Coturnix japonica: one gene and its partners. The protein of the gene in region 1 interacts with the protein of each later gene in a pairwise test. Links are inferred from orthologs where the notes say so. Each region holds a gene or a part of one and is shown on either strand. Other genes may lie near its edges. The genes, in order: OPRM1, GJA4 and RANBP9.

Region 1 (3,646 bases):
AAACAAACACCTTGCTTACAATATCTCTCTATTTTTGACAATTTCTGATTGCTGAGCAGTAAAAAAAAAGGTTGCAGGTTTTCAGGATATGATGTGTAGTAAGCAGATTTTCTTGATGAAAATTTCTGTGTGGATATCATGCCTGTACATGAATAGGCCTGGATACTATGGGCACCCAGGGCAGAGGGATGGTTGTGATTATTTCCTGATGTAAGTCCATCTCACACAGAATATAAACTGGATTTTTAAATTCAAATCCAGGAGCTAGCCAATTTACTGATGTGAACACAGAAAGCAAACTTATATAGCATCTAGAATACCAGCTTCCCTGCAGTTGCTACAGATACAATACAGGGAGTGAATGAAATCCTTCTCTACAAGTGAAACTCATGGAGGGTTCCCAACTAGAAGGAAAACTTCTGGCTGGCTATGAAACAGTCTCTCATGCAAACACGACAGCACTGAAGATTCGTTTCTGTGTCGTTAAAGTTCAGACCCAAAATTTGTTTCTTACCATTCTCTCTACCTTGTTGTATTATGACAGACTCATGTTCACCCTGATTCCTGGGTTGCCAGCTCAGCTTTACAGGGCAGCATAATAGAAGCAAATGGGATGTAAATACCTATTTAAAAACACACCCTGTAAACACACAGACTGGTGGGGGGCTGGGGGCATAAAACAAGTAATTGCTCATTGTGTTTGCAATTTCTTTCCTTTCAGTTGGAACTCCAAGAAGCTGAAACCACCCCACTGCCGTGACAGGGTCTGCTGCAGTATAGCTCTCAAAGCAATTACAAACCAGTGCCACAGTGTTTCTGTGCAGTCTACTATGGGAAGGTGTAGGATATGCTTTCCCTCAAAAGAGAAAAACCAAAACAAAAACAACAATAAAAGAATAATCATAGAGGAAAGTGCCTGCTTTTCCAGTCTGTCAAAAACTGCTTCTGCAGCACTTCTACACTGCTCATAACAGAAGCATGAAACTCAAGGGCAAGCAGAGCCAAAAGGTATGGGGGCTTTCCAAGCTGCACTGTTCAAAACAGTCATATTATATATACATCTGTTAGTCTAAAACAAAGCTATCTGATACGCTCTGGCAAGTTAGAATGGCGTTAAACAGGTTGGAAACAAAAGACAGACAGCTTTTGAAAAAAAAAAGAAGTTGAGCTTTTAATGACAGGAAATAATGGGAAATGAAGTTGGGTCTGTGATTTATATTTAAATTTCTTTTTTTGTAGAGGTGTTTTCTGTGTAGGTTGTTTGTGTGCCAAAGTCTCACAGGATCATCTAGAACAACATGTTGGAAACAAGAGTTCTTCACTTATAAAGACTGCATATTCCAAAACTTCAAAGGAAAAATATTTCCTTCAGTGATAATTTAAAGAAAAGAAAAACCTCTAAGCATCTCCATTCTCTTCTTATATAAGAACTTTTACAGTCAAAACAATGAGGTATCAGTTCACCTAAAAGAGTAAATGGAAATATCCCATGCTGTTATTAGTAGAATTATCCCTAAAAAAGCATTGACTGTTACGGTAAACTCCACCATGAATCTGCATGAATAGATGTACATCTATCAGCTTGTCAATGAATTCTCTTTAGTTTACCAGATTTCAACTGCCCTGTTGGCAGTATCTCAAACTTGGAAGTCAACAACTTGTGTGAACTGGTTGGAAGAGTTAGCACATCAGAGCTGCTTAAAAATATATATATACATTTTGATAGATTTTTTTTTTCCCTTAACCAAACCCATGTTTGCTTTTCTAACTAACTTAATGCAGTCTGCATTTCCATTCTGTGTTATCTAGTAAAACATGTGAAGATTTATGAAAGAAACATCATACCGAAGTAAATGTCATCCTAGTAAATGTCATCTTATCTGTTTTTTTGTATGGAAAATAGAGATATCCATGTAGATAACTTGTGGTGCAATAGTATTTTCTAGCCATTGTTTGTTTCTTGCTTTGTAAATAAACCATCAGTAGTTAAGTGGGGGGGCAGGGCAATATACTTAAGTGTACTCTAAAATACAACTCTATGGAACAGGGTTTTCTTTCTATTTCTTCTTATTTATTTCTTAATTTCACTATTAAAACTCGTGTAACAGAATATGATTTTAGTGTGAAGTCATTTGTTTCTGCCTTGGACTATGTAATAAAGACTGAAGGCCAAATCCTTGTGAGTTGTAAATTGAAGTAACACTACTCTTGTCTCATCAGTGTGGTGAAGCTAAATGTGTAGATAAATAGGTTTTATATCAGCATAATGTGAAATTGGATGTAGCAGAAGTGCCTTTTTTCCATTTTCTGTTAAAAATTCTGCCATGCTGTCATAGAGGTTCCATGTTTAATTTTGCATTAGTTTAGCAAGATTTCCTCACAGTCATCATTAAATTTTAAACCAGATCTGTCATTATCTAACTTTAAAAAAGCATGGGATAGGAACCTGAAAAAAAAATTGGACGTGTTCTTTTGCACTACATAGCAGTATTATTTAACTAACAAGAACATAAACTAAAGCAGAGATGCAAATTAGTGCTGTCCAACAGCACTGAGTCTAGCATGATCTGAACAGTCTACCATGCTACAATATACCAAACTGAAATACACTGAACAACTATTACAAAAGCCTTCAGCAGTAAATTGGGAAGAAAACTAAGATCATAGTTTAATGGTTAGTTTGAAGTACCTTAGCTGTTACAGAATTTGCATAATGAACTGAAAACATCATTTCTATACTTGGAATGTAACAAAGCTCACAGGTAAAATCCTATGACTTGCCAACAGCAAAAAGTTTTAAAAGATATTTTAGGTTTCTACAGTCCAATAATTAATTGAGCAACCTCACAGTAAATATTTTTAGTAGTACTAATGTTTTTGTAGGCATAATGGTCCAAGGATATGAAGAAGCAAATTTTATTATCAGAACATCAGCAAAAATAAGTTAAATGCCCTGTTTGTTTATCAAAAGACATGGATGTTCGCTGGCAGTGCTGTGGAGAAAGTATCATGTTGTTTCGCAATCTGTGTATCTTCATTGTAATCCTTTAATAAAAATGCTTGTGTTGCTTGTGTACTTGCACATACTGTATTCACATCACAGCACATGTTGATCATCATGCCCTTTTTTAATAGCTCATCTCTAGAAAATGCTGTGCTATCAACCAATACCAACACATCACCTTGGATGTTCTCATATTATCTGACTGCTTTAAAGAACAGCTACCATGTTTTATTTAAAAAGGAGGACATGCAGATAGTTCATTTCTTTTTAAGAGGTGTACATACCCATTCCTATGATTCTGTAATGCACACACACAGAATGCATAGTACAGCACACAGGGCCTCAGAGGAGTTTTATGTGTAGAAGAAAGCAAATAAATCTTCAATATTAATGGCCCTTCTGTACGTCCCTTATGCGCACACATTTCTTGATGACTACAAGTGATCCAAAGCAGGCCAGCAGCTGCTCTCATCTTGTTCCCAGCCTATGCAAGTCCCTAGAAAACCCAATTGTCCTCAAGGAACGTATCTGCTGCCACTGGTAGTCCTACTAGCCCAGTGATACAATACAACAGAATTCCAAAGCAAGAGAAAAAAAAAGAACACAAAACTGCATCAAACCCCATGTTCCATTTGTCTCATA
Region 2 (3,751 bases), on another chromosome or scaffold:
TCCATCTTTATTCGATGCAATACAGCGCTCAGTCTGACAGGGAGGAAAGGGAAACAGAACAGAGGAGCAAAGCCCACACCCTGCGCTCATGCTCTGTAGCTGCACGTGGTCCATGAGCAGCAGATGGAGCAGGTTCCTGCAGCCCCTTCCATCTCACAGCTTTGGTGGGCAGTGGTCCATTCCTCTGCCCCATCACCAGCACTACAACCCACAGCAGGAGATGACTAGTGCAAAGTATTAAAAACAACGACCCCCTCCAACTAGTTACTGCTATGCTAATTCCTCCCCAAAACCACTGGGCTCAAGGGCTTGGAGGCCTGGGATGGACGTGGCTCTCTGGTCCCCTGCACCACGGCACCTTTAAGGCAGAAAGCTCCGTGCTTGGGTCGGCACGTTAAAAATAACTTAAGAGACATCACATGGGAAAAGGTCCAGGGACAGGACACAGGGGGGGTCCCGGGGCACTCAGGGCGATGGGGACGTGCGGTGTGACAAATATCCCAGTGCAGGGTTAACCCCACTGTGGTCCACAGGGACAGGAGAAGCTCTGGCAGCAAAGCCCCAGCACGGAGCAGTGCCAGCTGTCTGCTGGGTCACAGGAAGGGGACACAGCCCACGGCCAGGACAAGAAGCTTCCCATGGTTTCACAGTGCTCCCAAACCAACAGTGGGACTTGATCTTGTCCCAGGGGCCAGCTGCATGGATAAGACCCCCTGCCAGCCTGCTCCCAGCCCTGGGGATTTTCTCCCTTTCCCACATTGATGCCAAGTCCCTCTGCCCTTCACACGCCGTCCCAGCACAACCCAGGGAAGTTTCCATGTAGTTTTCTTCCTTGCAGGGCCCATGGGGAAAACAGCAGAGAGCAGAGGTTGTGCTTGGGGGCTGGTGAGTTTGTAAGCATCAGGTCCCAATAGCAGGCACCACATCCTTGGGGTGGGCACAAGGAACAGTCCCCCAGTCCAAGCACAAAGGGACCAGGGATGGCCCCAGCCTGGCCCTAGACATACTGCTTCTTGGATGCCGAGCTGCTGGGCCGGCTGCACAGCTTCTCCTCAAGGACTGGGGCATCTGGAGCCCTGGGGGCGTAGGGGTCCGAGAGGGGCCTGGTGCTGCTGCCCAATGCCAGGTTCTCCTCATTGCGGAAGTTGGCCCAGTTCTGCTCACTGGAGAGCTTGTTGTAGGCCTGGTAGGGCGGCGTGTGGCTCTCGGACATAGGCAGGAAGGGGTAATGCTTGGCTGGGTAGGGACCCGAGCCCATGTCATCAGCAAAGGCACCCTGGCTCGGGCCAGCCGGCACCGGCACCTTCTTGATGTTGTTAAGCAGGCTCTTGCAGCAGAGGTGGAAGAGCTCCAGGAGGTTGAGGATTAAGGAGATGAGGCCCATCACCAGCATGAAGATGATGAAGATGGTCTTCTCGGTGGGGCGGGAGATGAAGCAGTCCACCTGGTGTGGGCAGGGGTCTCTCTTGCACACATAGCGTGGCACCATAGAGAAGCCATACAGGTACCACTGGCCAACAAGGAAGCCTGCCTCAAAGATGCTCTTGCAGATCACACTGATGATGTACGTCCACATCAGCGCCCCTTGGATCTTGAGTCGCCCATCCTCTGTCATGTAGATCTTGGACATCTTCTTCTCTACAGCTGCCAATGCTTGTTCAATCTTTGGGTCCTTGCTGTGGATAGCCCGGAGCTCATTCTCCTGCTGTTTCAGCTTCTCCTCCTTCCGCGAGAGATAGACAACGTGGCCCAGGTAAATGAGGGTCGGGGTGCTGACAAAGAGGAACTGCAGCACCCAGTAACGGATGTGGGAGATGGGGAAGGCTTTATCATAGCAGACGTTGGTACAGCCGGGCTGTTTGGTGTTGCACACGAAGTCCGACTGCTCATCTCCCCAGACTCTCTCTGCAGCCACAACCAGGATCATGATACGGAAGATGAACAGGACTGTGAGCCATATCTTCCCGATCACAGTTGAGTGCTCCTGGACTTGGTCCAGCAGTTTCTCCAGGAATCCCCAGTCTCCCATCTTCTAGGAGCCTTGTGCCTCTGGCAGCAGAGGGAGGAGAGGGGGATTGAGTCAATCCTGTATTCACATGCTGCATCCTTAAGCTTTCTCAGGACCTTCAGAAGGTCCCAGCAAACCCACTGTGAGGGCATGACTGGCAGCTCGCAGGAGCAGCCTAAACTCACCCCTCCTACAACCCAGCTCCAACAAAGGGCAGCAAGCAGCATGACTACAGAGACAGCGGCACAAAGCACTGAGTACAGCTGCCACCCCGACACCCAGGCAGTGCTGTCCCCACATTGAGTGCACAATCAGAGTCATTAAAGATGGAAAAGACCACTAAGCTCAGCCCAACCTCGCTGTAGGATAATTCCACCTCAGCCCCAAATTGTTCCCCCATAGCCCCCAGCCTGGGGGTCCCAAAGCAACTTACTACACACAGACCAGGAACTCCTTGGGGGGGACCCTGGTTGTCCCAAACGGAAGCTCTGCCGACCAGCCAGCCTGCCCCACATTCCCCCTCATACCACAGCCCTGCAGCCCAGCTGGGAAAGAGGAAGCAGCCACAGCCCTGACTCCTAATTAACCCCTGCCAATTAAGCACAGCTGGACCGTTAAAGGAACACGTCTCCCGGTGGGATGGAGAAATGCCCCGAAGCAGAAAAGCGGGTGCATGCAGAGAGCAGTGACCCCATCGCAAAGCAAAAAGTGATGCAGTGCAGGGGGTCCCGAGGGGTCCCACTCACTCACCGCCCGCCTGGCAGCGCTGGGCACGTCCCTTCTGCCTCGGGCCGTGCAGGTTGTGAGCGGCAGGGCCGGGCCGGGCTGCGGGGGCCGTGCGGGACCCGGGGGAGCCGGAGGCCGGGCCGGGCCGGGGCCGCCCGCTCCCACCCCGTCGGGGCGGGCCGGGGGCGGTGGGGCCGCCAGCACCGCCCGGGAGGGCTCCCGGTGACGGTGGGAGGCGGGGAGAGAGAAGTTGTACACGACCCAAACGCGAATCGTTGCCGGGGCCGAACGTCGGAGTCAATGCAGTACGGGACGGGCGGGGGGAGAGGAGCCGGCGGGGGGTCGGCAGCTCCATGGGGGAGACGGGGACAGAGAGCGGTGGGAATGGCTGTGTCCTGTTGTTCCCTGGGGAGAGTCCGGCGGCTGAGAGCCCAGCACCCGTTCAAAGCCCTTCTGCAGCCGGGGGCATCGCGAGGCGGCGGGGACAGCAGTGAGGACATCAGACGGGAGACGCTCCGGCCCCGTACGGCCGTACCCGGAGGATGCTGCCCTCGGCACCGCTCCGTTCCTGCGGGATTTGGGATATTTCGCTCCTCCAGGCGCTCGTGGAGCGGGGCCGTGCGCGGCGTGGGCGCTGGGTGGTGCTGGAGCCACACCGCAGGATGAGCTTGGGCAAAAGGCACCGAGCTGCGGCAGCCGTCGGGTTCGAACAGAGCCCGGCTGAGATAAGGGAGGGTTTGGGGACAGCGGGAGGTTGTGGGGTGGCACCGGGAGGCCGCGGTGCGGATGCTCTGAGTAGCTTTGCTCTTAGTGAGGGGACCGGAGATGCGGCTGATGCAGGAAAGCAGTGTAATTAATGCTGGTATTTTATGCACAGGGTTAAGTCCTGCTGCTCAGGGGGACAGAACCCCCATTTGTGTTCCCCCAGCTGCAGTGGGATGGCACACAGCACAGGCTGCATGGGAGCGGCAGGACTTGGGCAATCCAAGCAGAAACTGGGCCAAGGAGCTGCTGCCT
Region 3 (3,651 bases), on another chromosome or scaffold:
TCAAATTATACAGATGTGTGTTTATAGATGACACAATTACCTTCTGAGAAAAGAGAATTAAAGTTTTTGCAGAAACTTAAAGTTAAGCAGCTTTTTTTTAGAAAATGTGTAGTTTTTTTTCTTTATGCTGTATTTATTTGCTACGTGTTAAACTAGGTTTTGTTATCAGGGTCTTGTTTTGCAGCATAATTCACATCTTGCTGTAGACTTGTCCTCTAGTACTGAGTTTTTGTATTTTTAAATACGAATTTTAATCGGATTCAGTGTCAAGTAAAACTTTAAAATGTAACTGATAGAGTGTCGTATGCAAGAAGGTTAAGAGTCTTGTGGCATAAGTTGGTCTGTTCCTCCAAATGGCTGACTGACATTAAACACCTCTTTAAGATGAGTTGTTGCACTCCTTGTCACTAAACTGCAAACGTCTCTGGATTATACAGTGAAAATTCAGTAATCCCAGAGTCCTTGTAGCTTCATGGGCATGCAACATTCACCTTCATTCTGGCATTTCTACTTGCCAGCTGTGCTGATCCTCCAGGATTGTTTTATCATGTCACAACATTAGAATGTGGGGAAAAAAAATCTGCTCCTCCTGTAAGAAGAAAGCACTAGAATTTTTATGTTCAGTTAATTTACTTGAAACGTTTGAAGTCTGTCACTCAAGTGCTGAACAGAATTCACGTGATAGTACTGCAGACTTACCACAGAATGTGATTTGATGAAAGCCCTCACTCTAATGTCAACTGTATGTTACCTTTATCTCAATCTGTCTCGCCAAATTTTGCCTGCTCTATTAAGATTACCTAAGCATAAAACATTATGCAGTAGCTCTAAGCTTCATCAAACTCCATAGTAAAATCTCTACCTAAAATAAAATTGACAGAGTAACCACCTCTAAAGGGAAGGTTTGTATGTGAGTTTGCTTACTAAACTGTTTTCTGGTGTAAATGTCTCATGTTAAAAAAACTTTGCCTGGAACAGTAAGGATTAAATGATGTTCTCATTATCTTTGAGAGAAATAATGGGCACAGCAAGATAACTATATATCCTTCTCAAGCAGTACACTTGCCCCTGCCAATAAAACAAAACAGTTTAACCAAAAAATACATTTTAGTGCTCTAAACTTTGAGGACTTATTGCCAGAGCTCATCCTCAAAGATAACATTCCTGTTCTTCTCCCTCCTAAACTTCCTAGTTTCCTATTTTGGCCAATACTCAATTTGTTGATGATTGGGTTAGTGACGTCCAGCGTTTTGTTGAGTCAGACTGTTTTAAAGTGTATTTAATGCTAAAATCAGTGCTATCATTGGTAAATTGAAGTGTTTGAATTGTTTTGTTAGCTTAACTTCTTTGTCTTTTGTTTAGGGTGCGCCAGTTCATAGAGATGGTGAATGGTACAGACAGTGAAGTGCGGTGTTTGGGAGGCCACAGTCCAAAATCTCAAGATAGTTACCCTGTTAGCCCACGGTCTTTTAATAGTCCTAGCATGAGCCCCAGCCATGGAATGAATATTCACAATTTGGCGACAGGCAAAGGGAGCAGCACACATTTTTCTGGTAAGTTGATGCGAAAGATATACCACATCTACAAAGTTTTTTCTGTGGTTTTGAGTACTGGGAGAAGGCACCAATATTGAACCTGTGGATAAACTGTTTCAGTTGGGGCTGAGGCCTTTAGCATTGAAGCAGAGACCTAACAGTCAAAATACGTTATTCCCAATCACTACAGAAATAGTATATATGAAATCTTAAGAAATTATTGCTTCTGTGAGGTAGGAGGTTCTGATGTGAATTTCTGTTGTCGCTTTGGTATTAATCCATGGTTTAGGCAAAGTGCCTGAAGTCCAGTAAATGGTCTGTGGTGTTTGTGGAATAGTAGGAAATACCAGGAGCTGGGTGGCCAAGTTAGGTTAAACAACCAAAAAAAATACTGCTGAGTACTGCAATCTGCACAGCTGAAACTGTTCTGAAAGCACCTAATGGTGGTGGCAAAGCTTCAGTGGGAGATGAAGATGTTCAGATCTGCCCTATGCCAATAGAAAGATTCCAGCGCTGGTACTTGAGCATGTCATCTCTGAAGTCGGTATCGCTTTGGTAGCGTGTAGAGGTGGTCAGCTTTCAGTTCTCTTTCTTTCTTAAATCTAAACTGGAGCAGACTGGGAGCTTTGCTGGTTTCTTGTTTGTTTTTCCTTCTCTCTGTGGAGTCCAGAATACCGTCTGCTGCTTCAGGTGTTTTAGTCTTGTTGCACTCAGTTGCTGTTGTTTCCTTGGGTTCTTATCATGATATATGGTAGAAAGCACCTCTAACTTTCTTATTTTGAAAGCAGAGGCACTGCTTAATAAGGAAGCTGGTAAATGATGTTGTTAGCAGTGAGATTTAGGATTTGCTGAATGGCAGAAAATGGCAGGGGGGTGGAGGTGGTTGGGGTCTTTCATTTGTTTTTTAATAATAAATCTTTCCTGTGACCTATTTCTGGGTTAGTTGATGTTTAGGGAGCTCCTACATTTATGCTTGATTTGCCAATTATGTATTTGCTTCAAATGGTTGTTCATTGATTACATTTTAGAAGGGTCAGAAGAAATTTTAGCCAGACATGATAATTTCACAGCATGGTATAATTTTTATATAGCAAAGCACAATACTAGCAATTAAAATAATTATATAGGAAAGCAGGAGGGTTGTATTTGTGTAGCAGCATGGCAAACGTTTCAATACTGAATTTTACTGTGTGTTTTCAAAGATAATTATGTGATAAAGAATTAGTAAGATGCATGGCTGCTTTCATTCTTAATTATTACCACAGTGGCCTAGAAAAGGTTTTTACATCTTTCAGAAATGTTTCTAAATGATTCTGTGTTGATTCAGTTTTATGTTTTACTCATGTATATGCAGTACTGAATAAAAAGCTTCCCATCTGTAAGTATTTGTTAAATCATGTTTTCACTTCTGTACTGTAGAAACCTTTTAAAGAATGAATACCTGAAGTCTGGAGTCTGCCTTTTTAGGATTATTTCTTTGACAAATGTAGTATTTTGTGGCTGGGAGCAATTATGTGGTTCTTACTTCACTTGTGTTAAATTGGTATCTACAAACGTGTTTGTAATTAATTACAACTATAAAAACTTTCTTTCAGGGTTTGAAAGTAGTTGCAGTAATGGAGTAATATCAAATAAAGGGCATCAGTCTTACTGTCACAGTAAGCATACAGCCACCAGCTTGAATGTACCAGAGCTTAACAACATAAATGTATCGAGATCTCAGCAGGTTAACAGCTATTCAAGGTGAGTAAACTTCAGTGCTTCCAGTTTGTGCTTATGTAGTCTACATAGTTTTTATTATAGAGAAGAGTTTCTAGAGGAATTTTTTTTTCTTCCAAGAGTAGTTACAAAATATCATTGGAGGGCACTGGTGGGAAAGGATAAATACTGCTTCTGTTCGTGATTGCTTGAGTCTGCTCTGGCTTTAACTTCTCCAGCTGAAGAGACTGTTTTTTCCCATTCAGTTAAAGAAATGCAATGAAGAAAACTTACCTTCCTTATAGCTTTTGGTGTTCAATTTAGAAGCTGTTTAGGGAAGATCACCTAGCTCACTTGTAATTCTAATTTAAACCATTGACATTAGTTTAAGAACCCTCAAAACAAAGTGCTTCTTTGG

The links.
Region 2: the proteins of OPRM1 (region 1) and GJA4 interact in binary tests that used the Homo sapiens proteins (3 or more experiments, as listed by UniProt). The link is inferred for Coturnix japonica from reciprocal best matches to the Homo sapiens genes OPRM1 and GJA4.
Region 3: the proteins of OPRM1 (region 1) and RANBP9 interact in binary tests that used the Homo sapiens proteins (3 or more experiments, as listed by UniProt). The link is inferred for Coturnix japonica from reciprocal best matches to the Homo sapiens genes OPRM1 and RANBP9.

The regions. Positions count from the first base shown.
Region 1 is NC_029518.1:45,152,300-45,155,945, forward strand, and holds the end of OPRM1 (mu-type opioid receptor), read left to right. Parts: intron 1-721; coding exon of another isoform or gene 722-760; exon of another isoform or gene 761-1,175; intron 1,176-1,239; coding exon 1,240-1,383; 3' UTR 1,384-3,079; downstream 3,080-3,646. UniProt on the Homo sapiens protein: Receptor for endogenous opioids such as beta-endorphin and endomorphin. Receptor for natural and synthetic opioids including morphine, heroin, DAMGO, fentanyl, etorphine, buprenorphin and methadone.
Region 2 is NC_029538.1:3,939,615-3,943,365, forward strand, and holds the start of GJA4 (gap junction alpha-4 protein), read right to left. Parts: upstream 2,880-3,751; 5' UTR 2,759-2,879; intron 2,708-2,758; exon of another isoform or gene 2,442-2,707; intron 2,050-2,441; 5' UTR 2,030-2,049; coding exon 998-2,029; 3' UTR 1-997. UniProt on the Homo sapiens protein: One gap junction consists of a cluster of closely packed pairs of transmembrane channels, the connexons, through which materials of low MW diffuse from one cell to a neighboring cell.
Region 3 is NC_029517.1:68,402,237-68,405,887, forward strand, and holds part of RANBP9 (ran-binding protein 9), read left to right. Parts: intron 1-1,362; coding exon 1,363-1,553; intron 1,554-3,130; coding exon 3,131-3,278; intron 3,279-3,651. UniProt on the Homo sapiens protein: May act as scaffolding protein, and as adapter protein to couple membrane receptors to intracellular signaling pathways. Acts as a mediator of cell spreading and actin cytoskeleton rearrangement.